Struthio camelus: one gene and its partners. The protein of the gene in region 1 interacts with the protein of each later gene in a pairwise test. Links are inferred from orthologs where the notes say so. Each region holds a gene or a part of one and is shown in the gene's direction. Other genes may lie near its edges.

Region 1 (5,952 bases):
GCAGATGAGAAGCAGGTGGCCGGCCGCTCGCTCGGCCGGGCCGCGCGGGCAGGGGGAGCCGGTCCCGCCGCCGGCGCAGCTCCCGCTCCCCGCCGCTCCCGCCGCCCCGGCCACGGCGGCTGCAAAGAGGCAGCCGGCTTCGTGCTGTGGGGCCGGCCGGCCGGGGCTGAGGTTGGGCTTCCAGCGCCGTGGGGTTGTTGCCGGTGCAAGCAGCAAACGTGCTCTGGTCCCAGTCGGCCAGAGAGAGTCGCGGGGTGCGCGGCTGAGCCGTGAGCCGGCCACGTGGGAACAAACCCACGCACAGCAAAGGGCTACGGCGAGGCTGCCGCGGGGAGCTGCGCGGCGAGCGGGGCAAAGCCGAGCCGGCCGCCTGCCCAGCCGCTTCACCTTTGCCGCCCCTTCACGGAAGGGTCCGAGTTGGACTCTCGCTTCCTTCTGTGATGAGAGTTAGTATAACTTTTTTCTAATCTCGTGCAGCCCGCGCCGTGCCCGGGCCGCGGTCCCTGCTGCCGGGGGCGGGAGCCGCGCGGAGCCGGCGGCGCGCGGTGGCCGGTGGCCCGCTGGACGGACGGCAAGCTGGAAGAGCCTAGTTATCGTTACTGCAGCCGTTACCGCGCAGCCGAAGCTTTGCAGCGCGGTGGAGGAAGAGGGAGCGATGACCCCTCGCCCCGCCGGCGCCGCGCGCCGCTCGTGGTGCCGCATGTGACCCCGCTCGCCCGGCCCGCCGCCCCTGCGAGCCGTCTGATGTTGCTGCGGCTTTTCGTTTCGGAGCTCGCAGACACCCCGGGTCGCCACGTGGGGAATAAAGGTCCCTTTGAGAGCGAGGCGCCGCTGTGCCCGCCGCCCCGCGGGGAGCCGGCGGAGGGGAGATGGAGCCCGGGCAGCTCCTGAGGCCGCAGCACTCCCCACGGGCTGGCAGGGTCCCCAAGGGGCTGTGCAGGGTCCTCACGGGGCTGTGTGGGGTCCCCAAGGGGCTGTGCAGGGTCCCTAAGGGGCTGACAGGGTCCCCATTGGGCTGTGCAAGGTCCCCAAGGGGCTGTGCAGGGTCCCCAGAGGGCTGGCAGGGTCCCCATAGGGCTGTGCAGGGTTCCCAGAGGGCTGTGCAAGGTCTCCATGGGGCTGACAGGGTCCCCATAGGGCTGGCAGGGTTCCCAGAGGGCTGGCAGGGACCCCATGGGGCTGGCCAGGTCCCTACTGGGCTGTGCAGGGTCCCCATGGGGGTGGCCGGGTCCCCAGAGGGCTGGCAGGGTCCCCAGGGGGCTGTCAGGGTCCCCAGAGGGCTGGCAGGGTCCCTACAGGGCTGGCAGGGTCCTCACGGGGCTGGCAGGGTCCCCACGGGGCTGTGCAGGGTCCCCATCGGGCTGGCAGCATCCCCACGGGGCTGTGCAGGGTCCCCAAGGGGCTGTGCAGGGTCCCTACAGGGCTGGCAGTGTCCCCACGGGTCTGTGCAGGGTCCCCATCGGGCTGTGCAAGGACCCCATGGGGCAAGCAGGGTCCCCATGGGGCTGTGTGGGGTCCCCAGGGGCTGTGCAGGGTCCCCAGGGGGCTGGCAGGGTCCCCACGGGGCTGTGCGGGGTCCCCATCGGGCTGTACAGGGTCCCCATGGGGTAAGCAGGGTCCCCAAGGGGCTGTGCAGGGTCCTAAGGGAGCTGGCAGGGTCCCCAAAAGGCTGGCAGGGTCCCCATGGGGCTGTGTGGGGTCCCCAGGGGCTGTGCAGGGTCCTCATAGGGCTGGCAGGGTCCCCAGGGGCTGTGCAGGTTCCCCAGGGGGCTGGCCAGGTCCCCAGGGGGCTGACAGGGTCCTCACGGGGCTGTGCAGGGTCCCCAGAGGGCTGTGCAGGGTCCCCAGGGGGCTGGCAGGGTCCCCATGGGGCTGTGCAGGGTCCCCAGAGGGCTGGCCGGGTCCCCAGGGGGCTGGCAGGGTCCTCACGGGGCTGTGCAGGGTCCCCAGAGGGCTGTGCAGGGTCCCCAGGGGGCTGGCAGGGTCCCCATGGGGCTGTGCAGGGTCCCCAGAGGGCTGGCCGGGTCCCCAGGGGGCTGTGCAGGGTCCCCAGAGGGCTGGCAGGGTCCCCAGGGGGATGGCCGGGTCCCCAGGGGGCTGTGCAGGGTCCCCAGAGGGCTGGCAGGGTCCCCATGGGGCTGGCAGGGTCCCCAGGGGGCTGGCAGGGTCCCCATAGGGCTGTCAGGGTCCCCAGGGGGATGGCCGGGTCCCCAGGGGGCTGTGCAGGTTCCCCAGGGGGCTGGCAGGGTCCCCAGGGGGATGGCCGGGTCCCCATGGGGCTGTGCAGGGTCCCCATAGGGCTGGCAGGGTCCCCATGGGGCTGTGCAGGGTCCCCATAGGGCTGTCAGGGTCCCCAGGGGGATGGCCGGGTCCCCAGGGGGCTGTGCAGGTTCCCCAGGGGGCTGTCAGGGTCCCCAGGGGGATGGCCGGGTCCCCATGGGGCTGTGCAGGGTCCCCATAGGGCTGGCAGGGTCCCCATGGGGCTGTGCAGGGTCCCCAGGGCAGCTGCTGCTTGCAGGGGGTCCCGCATCCCCACACCCCCAGCAGCTCCTCTCCCGCAGGATTTTTGGCGCATCCCGGGAGACCGGCCGGGGGGCGGCGGGACGTCGCGGGCGGCCGCGTGGCCCCGGGCCGCCTCGTGCCGAGGCGCGAGCGGCGGCCGGGCTGCAGGCCTGCGGCCGGGCGGCACGGCGCGCCGGAGGAAGCGTGCAGCGCATGACGCTTTCCTGCTGCCCTGCGAGGGACCATTTCCGTCCTCGCCGGCTGAGCTGCAGCGGCGGCGGCCGGAGGTGCAGCCCGAGCGCTCTGCCTGCCTCCCGCCCGCGCCGGGCCCCGGCGGTGAGTGCGTGCTGCGAGGGGGCGGCCGTGGCCGGCGGGGGCCGCGGCGGCCGGCGGCGGGTCGGCGCGTGGGCTGGGCACGGCAGCCGGGTGCCACGTTCGGCTCCCTCTGATGGAGGCTGCTCCTTTCGCTCGCTGACGGCTGCAGCCTTGCAAAGATCAGCGAGAAACCCCCCCCCCCCCATCACCGCAGCCGCCGTGTCCCCGCGCGGCGCGGACACCCGAGCCCCCCGCGCTTGCCGGGCTGCGTGCCCGTGTGCGCGCACACGCGCTCGCTCCGCTCTCCCTGGCGGGCGGCAGCGGGCAGCGCGGGGCGGGCGGCGGGGTCGTCCCCGCCGGCCCAGCCTGGGGCCGCGAATTCTGCGGTCTCACAGTCCTGATCGCAGCTGTGCCGCCGTCCTCCCCTTCCCTGGCTGCGCTACTGCGTGCGCTAGAGCCCTCTCCCTGCTGCGGGTTTTTTTCTTTTTCCTCCCTTGCGTTTTCTTCCTCCGGTGGCAGAGCTGAGCGCACCCAGGCGCCGCCGTGGCTGCGGGCAGAGGCACTGACGGCTGCTCCTTCCCCCCGGCCCCTAGCCGGGACGGCGGGAGGGGGCCTGGGGGCTCTGCAGCCACCCCGAAAGGCAGGACAGGCCGTCTCCAAAGAGGGACATGGTTTTTAATCCTGCGACGTGCAGTTTCTGGAAGGCTTTTCTCCTCCACCAGACCTGGGGGGAGGAGGATCCCTGCATGCTCCGAGATGGGGCCCCACCGGGTCAGCTGGGTCCCGGTGGATCTGGCACATCCCATGGCCAAAATCCACCGAGGGGTGCCCGACACTGCTGCCCAGCCCTGGGAACACCCCAGGTCAAAGCAGACTGTGCTCGGGTCCCTGATTTACCAAGCAATGCCAATGCTTCACAGCAGATTTTATTGCTGTTGGAGAAGCAGCTCCTTCCAAACAAGCCTCTATAGGTGCAGAAATAATTGCATGCAACACAAGCCGCTGCTGGAGGAGAGCGTGTCGGCGGCGTGCCTGCTCCCTGCAATGCCCCGTAACGATCACAAAAAGGAAGCCGTAAAAGCTTGGTTTCGGGCTAGAGTTCACAGGGAGCAGAGAAATGGTGGCGGGTGACTGCCCCCAAGGCCGGGCTCCTCGCTTCCGCGTCGCATGAGAATTTGCCCTGGGAAGACTTGGGGTTTCTAGCCTGGGGGCACGCTGAGAGCAGCAGCAGGGAGAGGGAAAAGCCCTTCTGCCTCGAGCAGGTGGGTTCATCAGGGTTAAAGAAAGGCAAATAAAGTAAGAGACTATTTTCTCTTGCCATAGCTCAACAGCCAGCTCTGGTCACGCCGGCCGGCGAACCCGCGTGCCGCCGCACGGCCTTGGAGGCCTGGCTGCCCCAGCTGGGGGAAGAGCTCCCTCCGCGGCCATCACATCTCGGGGTCTCTTTTGCAGGCAGGAGGCCAGGAAGATGTTTGCTGTTTGCCAGCCCGACCTCGCCTCGAACGCCCCCTTCCACGAGGGCCAGCGAGACCCCACGCTGGGCACAGCCTTCCTGGGGGACGGGGAGCGCAGGCAAGACACCAATTTCAACTTCGTGGGGGGGGTGTACGACCGCAACGAGAACTGGAGCCAGCCAGCGCCGGGGACCAGAACGGACGAAGGCTCCAGCCAGAGCGAAAACATGACAAATCCATCGGATAATCTGCTGTTATTAATGCAGAGACAGATGGTTCAGGGCAGGCTTAGGGATGCCGCCCAGAGCCTGAAAGGAGACCAAGTGTGTCTGGGCGCGGGTGTGCGGAGCCCCCCCGAGGGAGCGGAGGTCGGCGGGCCGGGGGACGAGAAAGCGGCCACGGAGGACACAGCCAAGGAGTGCAGGAAGCCCCTGAGCTCCCCCGCGGAGGACAACGGCTACGCCAGCAGCTCCCTCAGCATCGACAGCCCCGACAGCGTCTCCGGGAGCACCTGGGAGCCTCCCGCCGCTGCCCACATCCAGAAGAGCCCGTCAGAGCCTGGGGTGGCCGACGCCGAGACGGAGACCTGCCCTAACCCAGACACCCTCTTCCCAGCGCTGGCGGAGGCCTTCCAGCACATCCAGGACAAGGAGAAGTTCAAGGAGCGCGAGAAGGAGAAGCACCACATCCAGCTGGTGATGTATCGGCGCTTGGCACTGCTGCGCTGGATCCACGGCCTCCAGCAGAAGGTCGTGGACCAGCAGAACCGGCTGCAGGAGAGCTTCGACACCATCCTGGACAACCGCAAGGAGCTCATCCGCTACATCCAGCAAGGCCTGGCGTGCCCCGGCGACGCGGGCTGCCCCGGGCTGTGAGCCCCGCAGCCCCGCGCCATCTCTTCTGGGATTCACACCGCTCCCCTCTCCCCGGCCGCAAGGAGCGTCTCCTGGTGCTTGCCCTCCGCGATGGGGCCCGGGGCCAGGTTTTGCTTGGGAGGCTTTATAAAGATGCGAGCTGTGGGCTCCTGTGGCCTCTCCCTGTCCCGGTTTCCATGAAGCATGAAGACACTGCACAGCAGATGCCACCCAGCGTTTCCATGGGCCCTGGCAGCACATGGTCCTTCCGACGTTACAGGACCCTTTTTAATGACTTTTCATCTCAACTTCTCCAACACTTCCTTTTCCACCCAGCTGCTGACGGGCAAGTACCAGCTGTTTGGCTGCTGCACCGACCAGCTGCAGCTCGGGGTCCTCCGCCCTGTGTGCCGCTAGGTCTAGGGGCTTGTGCAACACTGCGCTGGGGACCTCGATGCACCCGGATTTGCTGACTCTGCGATGCTGAGACTCATCTTTTAAATCTAAATTAGCGTTCTTTGTTTGAGCATTTAAAATAGGAGTTCATTTCATCCCTTTGCTGTAGCTCTGCCACCTCAGGAAGGGTTGTCTAGGAAGACCCATCCCCAGGCTGGAGCCTGGGCAAGGAAGTCCTGGGATGGCCCCAGCTGCTCCTGGGCAGCAGCTGGACGTGGCCAGGGCACTGCCAAGGCCACCAAGTTAATTAGGGCACTTTGAAAAAATTCCTTCTTCTCCCACTTGTCTCTTCCCTCCTGCTAGTACCAGTAACCCTCCCCCAAACACCTGATAAAGGAGGGAGAGAACGTCTGGGAGAATCCACGCGAAGC
Region 2 (5,952 bases), on another chromosome or scaffold:
GCCGGGCAGCGGGAGTCAGGCGCCCTCTCGGGCTGCAGGTCTGGAGCTCGGTGCCTGCTTTCGGATCCGCGCTCCCCTTCAGGCGCGCACAGGGGGCCTGTTTTGCTTGGCCGAGATGACGATCCGTTGCCACGTATCTCAGAGCGTGTGGCTGGCTCTTCATCCTGCGCTCAGACTACAGGAACCACTTCAGGGGCTCAGTTCCTGCGGTTTAGGTCTTGCAACTGTCCCCTTGCCTGCTCCGCGAGACAGAAGATCGGGCACGGGCATGTAAGACCCCGTGCTCTAAACAGCCGCCTTCAAGGGCTCTCCCTGGCCAAGTTCTGCCTCCTATCATCACCGCACAAAGCAGAGCCCTCTCTATTTATGTGTATTTCCCCACCCCCAGAGGAAAGATTTAAGCCAGACTTGGTCCTTTTGTTTCAGTGGCCACAGTCTGTTTTCTGTAGGGCATCAAGCAAGGGGTGGTGGACCTGCTCCAGGGTTAGGGGAGATACTGCTAATGGTGCATCCCTTCCTCCCAGTCCTTCGCTGCCTGAATGGACTCTGGAGCAATCCTGAAAGAACTGCGGGAAGATGAGGGTATTTAACGTGGAGACAGAGGGAGAAGGAGCCCCGCAGCTCTGGCCGACGGCAGTTTCCTTTTTTCCCCAATGAGTTGACCAGTTTCCTCACAAAACGCATGGTGTTTTTTATCCCTATTTTCCCTGCGCAAGAAACGTTTTAGGATGCTCTGGTTTTCACTAGCCCCAGTTGCTCACTGCTTCCTGTTATCCGCACCGTGCAGTATTCCTGTAAGCAACTCAGCAAGGCCTTCATCTGTAAACTCATGCTGGTCGGCGTTAAAAAGAAAACACTGCTAATTCAACTGAGTGAATTTACAGTCTGATTGTGGATAACACAGCCCCCACTTTTCCCCTGACCGCATCAGAGATCCCCAACAGCCCAGGACATTGGAGGAAACTGCCTTTCCTCAGGAATACTAGAACGATGACCGCGGAGAGCGATTGTCTGGGGCCGTCCTAGCAGATTTAGCCCCGGGCGTAACTCAGGGCAGGCACCGGGGCGCTGCCGGGGCTGGGGAGGGAGGTTCAACGCGAGCGCTGCCCGGACCGGAGCTACCCACGCAGGGCGGGAGCAGCGGCAGGAGGCGGCCGCTGAGGCCTCCACCCCACCCCCCACCCTCCGCCGCCACCCTGGGGCGGCTTCCCCGCCGCTGCCCGCTTTTCGCGGCGCCCTGCCGCAGCCCCGTCCTGCCGGCGATGCCAGAAGAGCGAGGCTGCGTGGGTTCCGCGTGGGTTCCGCGTGGGTTCGGCCCGGCGGAGCGCGGCGGCCGCCCAACACCACACGCAAGCGCGGGCTCCGCCCGCCTGACGACGGCCGCGCGCCCCGCGCGGCGCACGCGCAGCGCCGCCCGTTGCCGCGCGCATGCGCCAGGACCGACCGTCCGCCCTTCCCCCCCTCCTTATGCGCATGCGCAGGAGCCGGCCGCCGCTTCCCCCTCCGCGGCGACAGGGGCCGCTGCGGCGCGCGGAGGCCGCGTGGGAGGGGGTGGGTGAGGTGAGGGGGGGGGGAGGGCGGTCACGGGCGCGCGCGCGCGAGGCGCGGGGGCGGGGCGGGGCGGGGCGGGCGCGCGGCCCTGCCCCCGGCGGCCATGGCCCTTCCCGGCATTCCCTATGAGCGGCGGCTGCTCATCATGGCGGACCCGAGAGACAAGGCGCTGCAGGACTACCGCAAGAAGCTCCTGGAGCACAAGGAGATCGACGGCCGCCTCAAGGAGTGTGAGCGCCGCCGCCGCTGCCGCCGCCGCGGGGGCCGCCCAGAGACTCGCCGCCGCCCGGCGCCTCAGGGGTCCGCGCCGCTGCCCGCGCTTCGTCATGGGCCTGGCCCGGGGCAGCGCTGGGGGGGGGCAACGTCCCCTAGAGGCACCGAGCCCTTTGCTTTTGGGCGTTTTAAATCCCGAAAGGGATTTTTAGCCCTCTTCTGCAGGGCCTTTTTCAGTAAGGGGAGTCCCCGAGCGGGGGCTTGTGGGGGGTGCGGGTAGCCCCCAGCCTGGCTCTGCCCGCCGCGCTTCTGCCGCTGTCAACGGGACCGCTCCTGCTGGATTGAAAGTCAGCAAAATCATGTGCTTCTCTCTCTCTCTCTCTCTCTCTTTTTTTTTTTTTTAAGTGAGGGAACAGCTGAAAGAGCTCACCAAGCAATATGAAAAGTCAGAAAACGATCTCAAGGCCTTGCAGAGCGTCGGGCAGGTATGTAAGAGAAACAAGGCCGTAGCTACGTGTGGTGGTGGTGACAGGGAACTCGCCTGGAAACAGCAGTTCTTAAGGCCGTTTGTGGCAACGGAAAGAATAAGTGGCAACAGCGTAGCTAACAGAAACAGGTGTCTTATCATCAGGGACAATCATAGGTGGAGAGGTTTTCTCTCTGTGTCTTGTTTAGCAGAGATACGTTAAAGAAATGAAAGTCCAGGTAGGCAACTTGAAGCAGGGGAAAGGATATGGAATATAACTATCAGCATTGAGATTGTGGCATATGTTAAACATTCTTTTGCGACTGTCACTTACCTGTGTGCTAATACTTCATTTATTCTTTTGCAGATTGTTGGTGAGGTTCTTAAACAGCTAACAGAAGAGAAATGTAAGTACGTTGGACAGTTATATTCTTTGAAATCTTGAAAATAAGCTTTTGCAGTTAAAACTTGGCTAAAGAGCTCAAAGAATGAGGAATTAAAAGTGCCAGTGATCTGTATGTTGGCAGAAAAACATAATATACTTTAGAAGTGTAATTGAAAGCAGTGACTAAACTTTTTTTTTTTAAATCTTCTCTCTCTAGTCATTGTGAAGGCTACAAATGGACCAAGATATGTGGTTGGCTGTCGTCGTCAGGTAGCTAGTTTATGTGAATATTCGTAAAGAGTTTCTTCTGATCTTTAATATTAACGTTGCTTTTGATCAGCTGTGCTGCTAGTGGGATTAAGTGTCGTCTTCTTTATGCTGTTTCTGGCTATATTCCACTAATATCTGTTTCCCCTTTCCCTTCCTAAGTGGTAGTGGCATAACTTCCTAGTAAGGATAAAACAGTCCAAAACACTGCATGCGTTTATCCTTCTCATCAAGTCCAAGCTCTTTCTTTCTGCCTCATTTTAAACTGTTTGAAAATTGTTTGTCATGACTTCAAACTGTCTAAGGTCTCCCCTGCTGTTTTGTGACTTTCTCTTCATTAAACGTTGCTGTTGTAGTGCAATGCTTTGCATCTAACGTTATCTCTCTATCTCTCTTTATGTAACTGTGTATTTTTCTAATGCTTTTGCACTCCAGTTGAATGAATACTTACGGTAGGTAAGGCCCCTGTTATACAAAGCTTTGTAAGCTTTGTGAGAGCTTTTTTTTTTTTTTTTTTGGTCTTTAATGATCTTACAGAAACATGGTGCTTGTAGTTTACAGGGCAATATCTCTTCTATCTACCTTAAAATCTGTGGGAATTTGACACTTCATAGAACCTTGCTTACAAAATAATCCATTTTCTGGTGCAGTCAGCAAGAACCAGCTTAGAGGTAGTCTGTGTTTTTTACTTTTCTATAAAAGTACAAGTGATATATTGCAAACACACAGAATTTAAGAATGGCTTGTTGGTTAATTGACCGTTTAATGTGGCCCATTTATAGTAATTGCAGCACCTTAGATAAGCTACTTCTTACCAAAACTGTCTATTAAATAGGAACCACAATATCTAATGAAGTTTTCTGCAGCTGCAGAGCCACTGGGGGCGTGAAAGTGATTCTCTAGTTAGGTTTTAATAGACTCATCCCTGACTTTGAGAAATGGAAGCAAAGAAAAATGTGTATGAAGTGAGGTACTCTCTGAATAGAGAGTAGCAACAGCAGGAAAGGATCGTTTCTCAGTTCTCTGAGAAGGCAGCAATATTTTATTTATTTATTTCAATGCACAAGTAAGTGTGTCTTTAACAGCGGTGACTTCTTAATCCATCTTTAATTGACCCCTTTACTGTAGGGAGAGGTAACTGCAACTGCACTTCTGATACGTCGTGATTGTAGCATATTCTCCCGTATAACAGAAATTCTGAAGTATGAGGAACTTTGCTCAATAAGAGGTGTATTGAGATGTAGTACTGGTGTTAGAGGTGGCTTTTCTTTCTCTTTTTGAGGAGAAACTGTGATCTTCACTTTTGAATTTTGAGCTGCTACTGATTCTATGCAAAGAAGGAAAACGTGTTCACAAGACTCATGTGAATGTTCTGCGGTACTCAGATTCTCCAGACTGATTTTCATATATAAAGCTAAACTGAAAAACAGTGCAATAGAACAATATAGCAAAGCTAACCAAGTATATTTAGATGATGCATGCACAATGGAGTTGTGAGGACTGTAGGAGGAGTTGAGAGGCAACAAGGAAGTGGCAGAGGTGGAGCCGGTTATGCTTGAAAGCATTAGAAAAAAAGAAGTTCTAACTATCAGAAGAATTTCTGGTGAAGGCCCACAATTATCAAAACTTAACATTGTGGCGCTTATGCGTTTTTTTCCCATGGTGTTGACTCCTGTCAGTGGATCATGTCTTTTGCAGGAAAGATGGACCTTTTCTCCTCCTTTTAGAAACAAACTATTTGGGCAGTGTGGGTGTCAAGAGTGTGTGTGTGTTTAGTATATGTGTCCAGATATCCTTGACTTCTCTTGAGCGTACTGATGTGGTGCATCTGAGCTTGTATGAAACATTCCTTACCTGCAAGAACTGCTAGTACTGAGAAGGCATAATTTTAAGCTTCATCTCTTTCGGTATCTTATAGTTCAAATTCTCTGTTTTCCTTCAGCAGAACAAACAAAATATTTTCCTGAGAATATAAGGACACTTACTCCTATGTTTGGGCATGTGATAGGTCTGATGAGGTGTTCCTGAGGCTGTACGTTGGAACAGAGAGCAGTGCTCGTGCTTGGATAAGTCTGAGCCTGTAGCGCATACTTTTGAATTTATTCTTGAATAAAAACACTCTTTGATCTTAAAAGATCCTTGATTTGATACCAGAGATTCAAAAACACATTTGCAATTGCTTTTCAAAATGATAAAATATCAAGGCAAATAACTTCCTATAGTGTCTCTCTCTGGCAGCCTAATGGAGCTAGTTATTGATGAAAGTTCTTATGCTGTGTGAGTCTGCTGAGGAAGGGGAGAAATAGTGTTTAAATTTAAACAAAACTACTTCCACATCCAAAGTGCAATTCCTAAGTAATTGAAGCTCAAATGGTTTGTCTTTGTTGTCATCTCACTGCAAAATAACTTAAAACTTTTGGACCATGTTGAATTTGATAGAATTTCAAGCTCCTACAGGCTTCTTAAGGTTAGGCAGCTAAGAAAGAGGTCCTGTCAGTGACTCCAGGGAGGGAGGAGTGACAGCTTGATCCTAAACACTGCTAGAGACTAAAGAATCCACATGGGCAAGGGATGTTAATAAATCTCCCAGTGAGGGAGATGATAAGCTTCAGGCAGAGCTTTCGGACAGCTGTAGAAATCCTCCTTGTTCAGATGCCATGTAACTGCTTGTGGTCAGTAGAGCTCAGAAGGAATAGCTTTATATTCCTTAAGTGTGAATCAAATACGTTTTAAAAAAATTACAGTGACAAGGTGATTTCTATGATCACTGTTCAAGTCTGCGTGGTATGAGAGGTGAGACTTCTAGACTGAGCTTCTTAAGAGCAAGATGAGAAATAGGAATTAGTAGTTTTAATCCCAGCAGATATTAGCAGAGGGTGCTGCAGAGCTCTGGAGTAGGACTGCTAATGGGAAGCCTTTTTAAAAAAACCTCATAAAAGGTGAGTAGTTTGACAAAAACTGTTGAGGCAAATGAGTAGGGCATCTAAGGTAAGGAATCGTCTCTGATATCAAAATAGCGACATTACAACTGGAACAGTTGAGTTTGAAGATGGGATATAACTGGATATAT
Region 3 (5,952 bases), on another chromosome or scaffold:
CCTTATTTAGATACTTATTTTATTATTTAATGGCTGCTAAGGGGATCATATATGATTTTAGGGCAAGTCTGGTGTACCTCTTTCACCCATCAATGCCTTATACTTTGACTATAGGAGTGAAAAAGCGATTGTGGTCATTTTTTTTTTTCTTTTTTACTGTGAATAACATCCATCAGAAAATACTTATTACTGATGCAAAGAGAAGTTGATTTCTTTAGAAGTGGGACACCAAAAACATCAGATGACCACAGATGGGATATCCAGATCTGAAATGCAGACAAATATAAAAGTCCAGTGTACTACCCCCAAGGCTATTACCATTCCTCACTTGTGCTTTGTTGTTTCTCTTTTCCCTCTCCTAGTTGTACTCTTTCATTTGCTAACGGCTGTTTAAGTGTGGTATAAGTTAATACCTTCCCCATGGAGTAATGTTGCATAGTAAAAACATACCAATTACTATACTGGCATGGAACAAAGGAGCCTATAGTCCAACATTTCATCTCCCACGGAGCTGAACATGAAATATCATGTAAAAAAAAAAGGAAAAAATATCCATTTACCTAGCTGCAGAATATTCAAGCAAAGGTGAAAAATTATTCCTGAATTCAGCCTGAAATTAGCTTATTAACTTGTGTATGAGGAGTGATGGCACAATTCTACCTGTTTGATCTGATGGTTGTGTAATCATAAACATTATATTTAATTCATAATGATGCCTGATTTTAAAACATATTCTTCTTTCAGTAATTCAGCTAGAAGATTGAAGATTGATTTCTGCTCAGGTATTTTTTCAGTCATTAAAAATGCTGGGGGCATGTTATTGATTACTCTTCTAATAGAGGCAATGAGTGACCTTTAGTTTTAGTTAGTGGATGATTTGTTGCCATGTCATGTTGCACTTGAAAAATGCTACTGTTGAAGATGATTGGTTCTTTCTGTAATTTTTATTTAAAGAAGTAACAAGTGTTTCTATTTAGGAAATACCCAAGTATGTATGTGGGTAAGTGTACGTTTGGGAAATACAAACAATTTGATGAAGAATATTTGGTAAATCTTTTTTTTACACACACCTTTGAAATAAATTTGGTGTCTACCTCACAGATTGGTACCCATTTTAGTAACACAGACAAGTGTAGATTAGCATAGAACTAAATGTTTGATAAACTACTTTATTTGTAATACCATAAAATTAATGTAAACAAAAATATTCTCCTAGAAAATATTTTCCTTGAAAACCTGCCAAGATTTACTGAATACATCTGCCTTGACAAAGCACTTCAACTAAGATCAAATAAAAATGTACCTTGCAGTGAACAGCTGCAGCTATTTTAAAATAAAGTTAAACAAGCATGAAAAACAGGGATGAAAAATAACACCGTAGGAAAAGTAATTAGTCTGATACAGTACAATCTGCAGTGATACAGGATGTATAAAAAGCATGGTGAAATTACAGCGGTGACTCACTGATCATGTGAATGAATGACCAGGCCACACCTTCATTATGATTATCCAGTGCTCTGAATCCATATGGCACTAATTCTTGTCAGTTTGTACCAACTGGTCTCCTTTTCCTTTAGGAGACACCTCCACACATGGCCTGCATACGGTATCCACTGTAAGACTCAAACAAGTATGCCTGGCAGCATCTATTTGTTTCTCTGCTTTATCTGGAGAACGAGCATCTTCTTCAAGGACGAGCTGCCAATGCTGCTTTGTAAAGATTTTGAATGTATGTTTGTGACATAATTAGGTATCCTTTAAGATGCCATGCTAAGCCATAGCAGGGCCATTGCCACTGCTGACCCGCGGGCACCCTCCAGAGTTGGAGGGATTCTCGTTACTGTTTTTATATGGGCAATACATAGAGGCGAGGGTATGCCACACCAAATGCTTTTTTAAGGAACGAGCACTAAGGATTTACAAATATTTAAACAAGTAAAGGCATAGTAATTGGATCTACACCTGTCTAATGATGCAGCAAATTAGCCCTTATTACTGCCATTATTCTGAGATTGCAGGATCCATCACAAATCCATTTCATAAGCAGCACGTACGGCCTACATCATCCAGGTGACTAAAATGGGCATGGCCAGGCCATGTTGAAGAGTCTTTTCTCCCTCCTGCAGCCTCCCCTGAACCTGCAACGATCCTTTCCTCCGGGCTACTGTTAGTTTAACAGGCAGAGCCCTGTTCCAGTTGACTCGCCACGGCAGTGCCACCAGGGAGAGGACTGACACCGTGATAAACATTTGGGCTCCTCTTCATACCACTAGCTAGAAAAATGAAATGGAAGAGGAAGGGGGGAGGACAAAAAAAAACCCAAAAACCCGCTTTCCGGGTGTTCTCCCCGGCCGGCTTCGTTGCGCTAACGGCCAACGGCCGCCTCAGCCCCAACGGCCGCCCGGCACGCGGGGCCGCGGCCGTGACGCAGCTCTCCACCGAAGCCGCACCCGCATCCAAGGGGCTCCCGGGGCCGGGCCGGGCCGAGCCGGGTCCGACCCTCCTCTCCGGTCCGTGGCAGCAGGCTCGCTGCGTCAGCACTCGTCCCCGCTCCCGACCGACTGGGGCAGCGGCGCGGCTCGGCGCTGCCCACCCCCCTCCACCGCGAGCGGGCGGGCGGGCAAGGCTGCCCTCGCGCACCGCACCGCCCCGCACCGCCCCTGCTCCCCGCTCGGCCGCCCTTGGCCCCGCCCCTCCGCGCCGATTGGCCGGCGGCGCCCGGCCAGGTGCCGGTGCGCGGCTGGGGGCGCGGCGGGAGCTGGCGCCGCCGCCACCGCCGCAGCAGCCCGGTGGCGCGTCCGGCGGGGAGGAGAGGCGCGGAGCGGAGCGGAGCGGAGCAGGCAGGACGTGACAAGACGAGACAAGACTCGGCTCTGGGCTGTCGCGGAGCGGGAGCGAGGCACCTGCTGTGCCGCCAGCTCGGCGCAGGTGGCCGGCCGCGGGCAGGGGCCGGCGCGGCGCAGCGCGGTTTGGGGCGGGCCGGCCGGCTGCAGCCCCCGTGCCCTGAATGAGCGGCGGGCGGGCTCGGCCGCAGCCGCCGGCGGTGGCTCTGCCCGTCTGCCCAGCGCGGGGGAGTTGCTGCCCTCCTTCCGTTTTGGTGCAGCCCTCGCCTTCGGCCGCGGGTGAGTACGGCCCGGGGGGCGCGGCCGCCGCCGGCTGGGACGCGGCGGGGGGGAGAGTCACCCGCGGCGGGGCCGTGCCGGGGGGGTGGCTGCGGCAGGGCCCCCGCCGCAGCGCGGCGGGCGGGGATGGGGGCCGGTCTGGGCTCGGTCGTGTGGCGAGCGAGCCCGGGGCAGCCCGGCGCCCGCTCCGCTGCTCCGGGGCGGCGGGAGGAGCGTGTGTGCGGCGGGCGGGAGCGGCGCCGGGCGGGCTGCGGGCGCCGTGTCCCGCGGCCGTTGGCGGCGGCCGTTGGCGGCGGCGCCCTCGGCCCCCGCCCGCCCTTAGGGACAGCGGCGTGAGGGGCTGAGGCAGGTCGCGACTTCCCACTGACTTGATGCCTTCGTAGGGAAGTGCTAGGCTTATTTTCATTGCCAGCTAGGTGCCTAGATAGCTTGGTAGCTCCCTGCGATCAGCCTGATTGTTCAAGCCCTGTCGCTGCAGTGCTTTATTATTATTATTATTATTTTCTAATGGAGTATTTCACTCTTGATTAACTTCTCTGAGAATACCGAAGGTTTCGATATAGCGTTTCTGTGGTGCTGCCTCTGCCTTCTTTCCGTGCGAACATCACACGGCTCCGCTCTTTTAATTTATTCCTCTTACGGAGGAGCATGCGTTTTCCTAGTATCAAGGTCAGTTTATTGTAACTTCTGGGGAAAATACCATATGGTTGAGGCTGACTTGTCTTAGGAAATCTAATTAAGTAGGACTGAGTTGTATGCTGTGGTTTGCATTATGTTTTAAGTTAGTGTAATCAAATTAGCTCACAAAATGCTTTAGAGTGCATGTGCCTCCCTTTCCAGTTAATGCTATCTAGCAACCTGTATTGACAATTTTTTTTACTGTATATTGACCGTTTTACTATTTCCTCTATTTCTGAAAATGTGGATACCTGTTTGGAGCCTGGAGTTTTTTTAGAACAGCTACAGTAAGGATTTTGGAAATAGAGGGTTTTCCTCGTTCTTCTGACAATCCTTTTCTGGAAGGTTAGAGAGAGAAAGGATGGAAAGAGAGTTTAGTTTTCATATTTAATATTATCAAACACTTTTGTGGCTTTGAAAGAAGTGTCATCAGGTGGAAAGTTTTTTTTTTTTTAATTTGTTTAAGAGTTTCTTTTAGTAGCCCGTTAATGGTGGTAGCAATTCTCTGCAAGTTGCGTTGAGACCACTGACTCTCCCCCTGCAGGTAACTGTCAAACAGTAGTGCTTGCTGGCTGCTTCTAGCTTGTGAAAGTGGACAGAGCCCTGTAAAACACGAAATACTGTAGTAATTAATCCTTCAAATTGCCACTGTAACCATTATTATTCAGGTACTGGATTGGATCAGGGCATGTGAACTGATGCCTTATGCCCAAGCGTCCAAAAAATACACAGCAATTCTACAGCCTTCCTGTGGAGTTTTTTAGCTTATTACAATGCATATGTCAGTTATGAACAGGAAAGTAGAATTTACAACAGTTGTGATGTATTAATTGCGTATGAGAACTCCTAGAAGCCAATTTCATCCCGGTCCCCCCCCCCGCCACCACAATAAGAGATACTTCAAGAAGAGCACTGCCCCCTATGACAATACTGCATCTTGAAACTGTTTCTGAGCATTGTGATACAAAACTCTTTCAGACAGATTAATGCTTTTTTTACAGACTGTCTTCATCCTAACCAGGGCTCTCCAGGAGTGATGCAAAATGACACTCCAGAGCAAAACAAAACTAAGGCTAAAACTTTTACTACTTTTCTTGATTTAGTTTCTTGCTTCCACTGTAATATGATTGATACAGTTGAGCATGCTGACAATCGATTGCTAAACCAGCCTTTTTGGGTTATTTAGGGTGTACCCGAGTGGGAATTCATCCTTCTTGCTTAATGTCTGCAGTAAACAGAACGCTTGAAGAACTTGTACTTAAACAAAACAAAATTCGCTAAACCATGCATGGCTAATGCTGAAGAAAAGCAGTACATGACAAATACGCTATTGTTCATAAACAGTACATCTGTATGAAAATACGGCTCCTTTATATTGCTGCCAACATTAATATACCCTATTGTGATCAGAGTAGAAACTACTGCTTGGCAGTATAAACCACTTTAACTTGGCCTTGGAAAGTTGGATGAGTTGAAAGAAATGAGTCAAACAGAGATCCGTGAAAACCGTAGGGAGAATTCTTCTCTTTGAGAAAACTTAATGCGTTTGAGTGGACTAATGCAACTTTCCATGGAGTATTTTGTTCACTTTCCTTTTGGATCTCGCTAGGTTAGTAACTAAGTAGATTCTTAGAGATAGTAGAGGTCTCTGGTTTACTTGTGAACCACTGACATCCAGAAGATACTGTTTAAAGTGTGCTTTAAACCTTTCCCAATGCCGAGTTTCTTATATTCTTTGTTTTGAAAGAAGCTTATTGGATTCAAGGGGAGAGGAAGATAAACTGTGTGTTATACTTTGACGTGGAAGGAAGCAAACCATCTTATTGCTCAAATGGGCTATCTGCAGCAAAAACGGGATTAAATTTAGATGGGGAATTTTGTAGAAGGACTAAATACAGTGTAATTTGGAAAGACTTCAAGCCATAGTTTAATTTTGTGAGATTAAGCAAAGATGCATATCTCAACTTTATGTGAATTTACACAGAGTTTGACCCCTTATATGTGGCTAACACACTAGCAAGATCTGCCTTTCATATGGTGAAGGCTAGTGATTGTGACCTGTTTGTTATCGCTTTGCCTTTCATTTTCAGTAGAAATTTAAGTATTATCCTCTTTTTTGAAGAATGCTTATAGGAAAATACTGTGCAGCACT

The links.
Region 2: the proteins of C23H1orf216 (region 1) and PSMC6 interact in binary tests that used the Homo sapiens proteins (3 or more experiments, as listed by UniProt). The two-hybrid records come from large-scale screens. The link is inferred for Struthio camelus from reciprocal best matches to the Homo sapiens genes C1orf216 and PSMC6.
Region 3: the proteins of C23H1orf216 (region 1) and MYRIP interact in binary tests that used the Homo sapiens proteins (3 or more experiments, as listed by UniProt). The two-hybrid records come from large-scale screens. The link is inferred for Struthio camelus from reciprocal best matches to the Homo sapiens genes C1orf216 and MYRIP.

The regions. Positions count from the first base shown.
Region 1 is NC_090964.1:9,982,987-9,988,938, reverse strand, and holds the start of C23H1orf216 (UPF0500 protein C1orf216 homolog), read left to right. Parts: upstream 1-2,727; 5' UTR 2,728-2,838; intron 2,839-4,269; 5' UTR 4,270-4,285; coding exon 4,286-5,146; 3' UTR 5,147-5,952.
Region 2 is NC_090946.1:80,413,728-80,419,679, reverse strand, and holds the start of PSMC6 (26S proteasome regulatory subunit 10B), read left to right. Parts: upstream 1-1,612; 5' UTR 1,613-1,654; coding exon 1,655-1,781; intron 1,782-2,169; coding exon 2,170-2,249; intron 2,250-2,597; coding exon 2,598-2,637; intron 2,638-2,832; coding exon 2,833-2,885; intron 2,886-5,952. UniProt on the Homo sapiens protein: Component of the 26S proteasome, a multiprotein complex involved in the ATP-dependent degradation of ubiquitinated proteins.
Region 3 is NC_090943.1:52,216,570-52,222,521, reverse strand, and holds the start of MYRIP (rab effector MyRIP), read left to right. Parts: upstream 1-2,815; 5' UTR 2,816-3,122; intron 3,123-5,952. UniProt on the Homo sapiens protein: Rab effector protein involved in melanosome transport. Serves as link between melanosome-bound RAB27A and the motor proteins MYO5A and MYO7A. May link RAB27A-containing vesicles to actin filaments. Functions as a protein kinase A-anchoring protein (AKAP).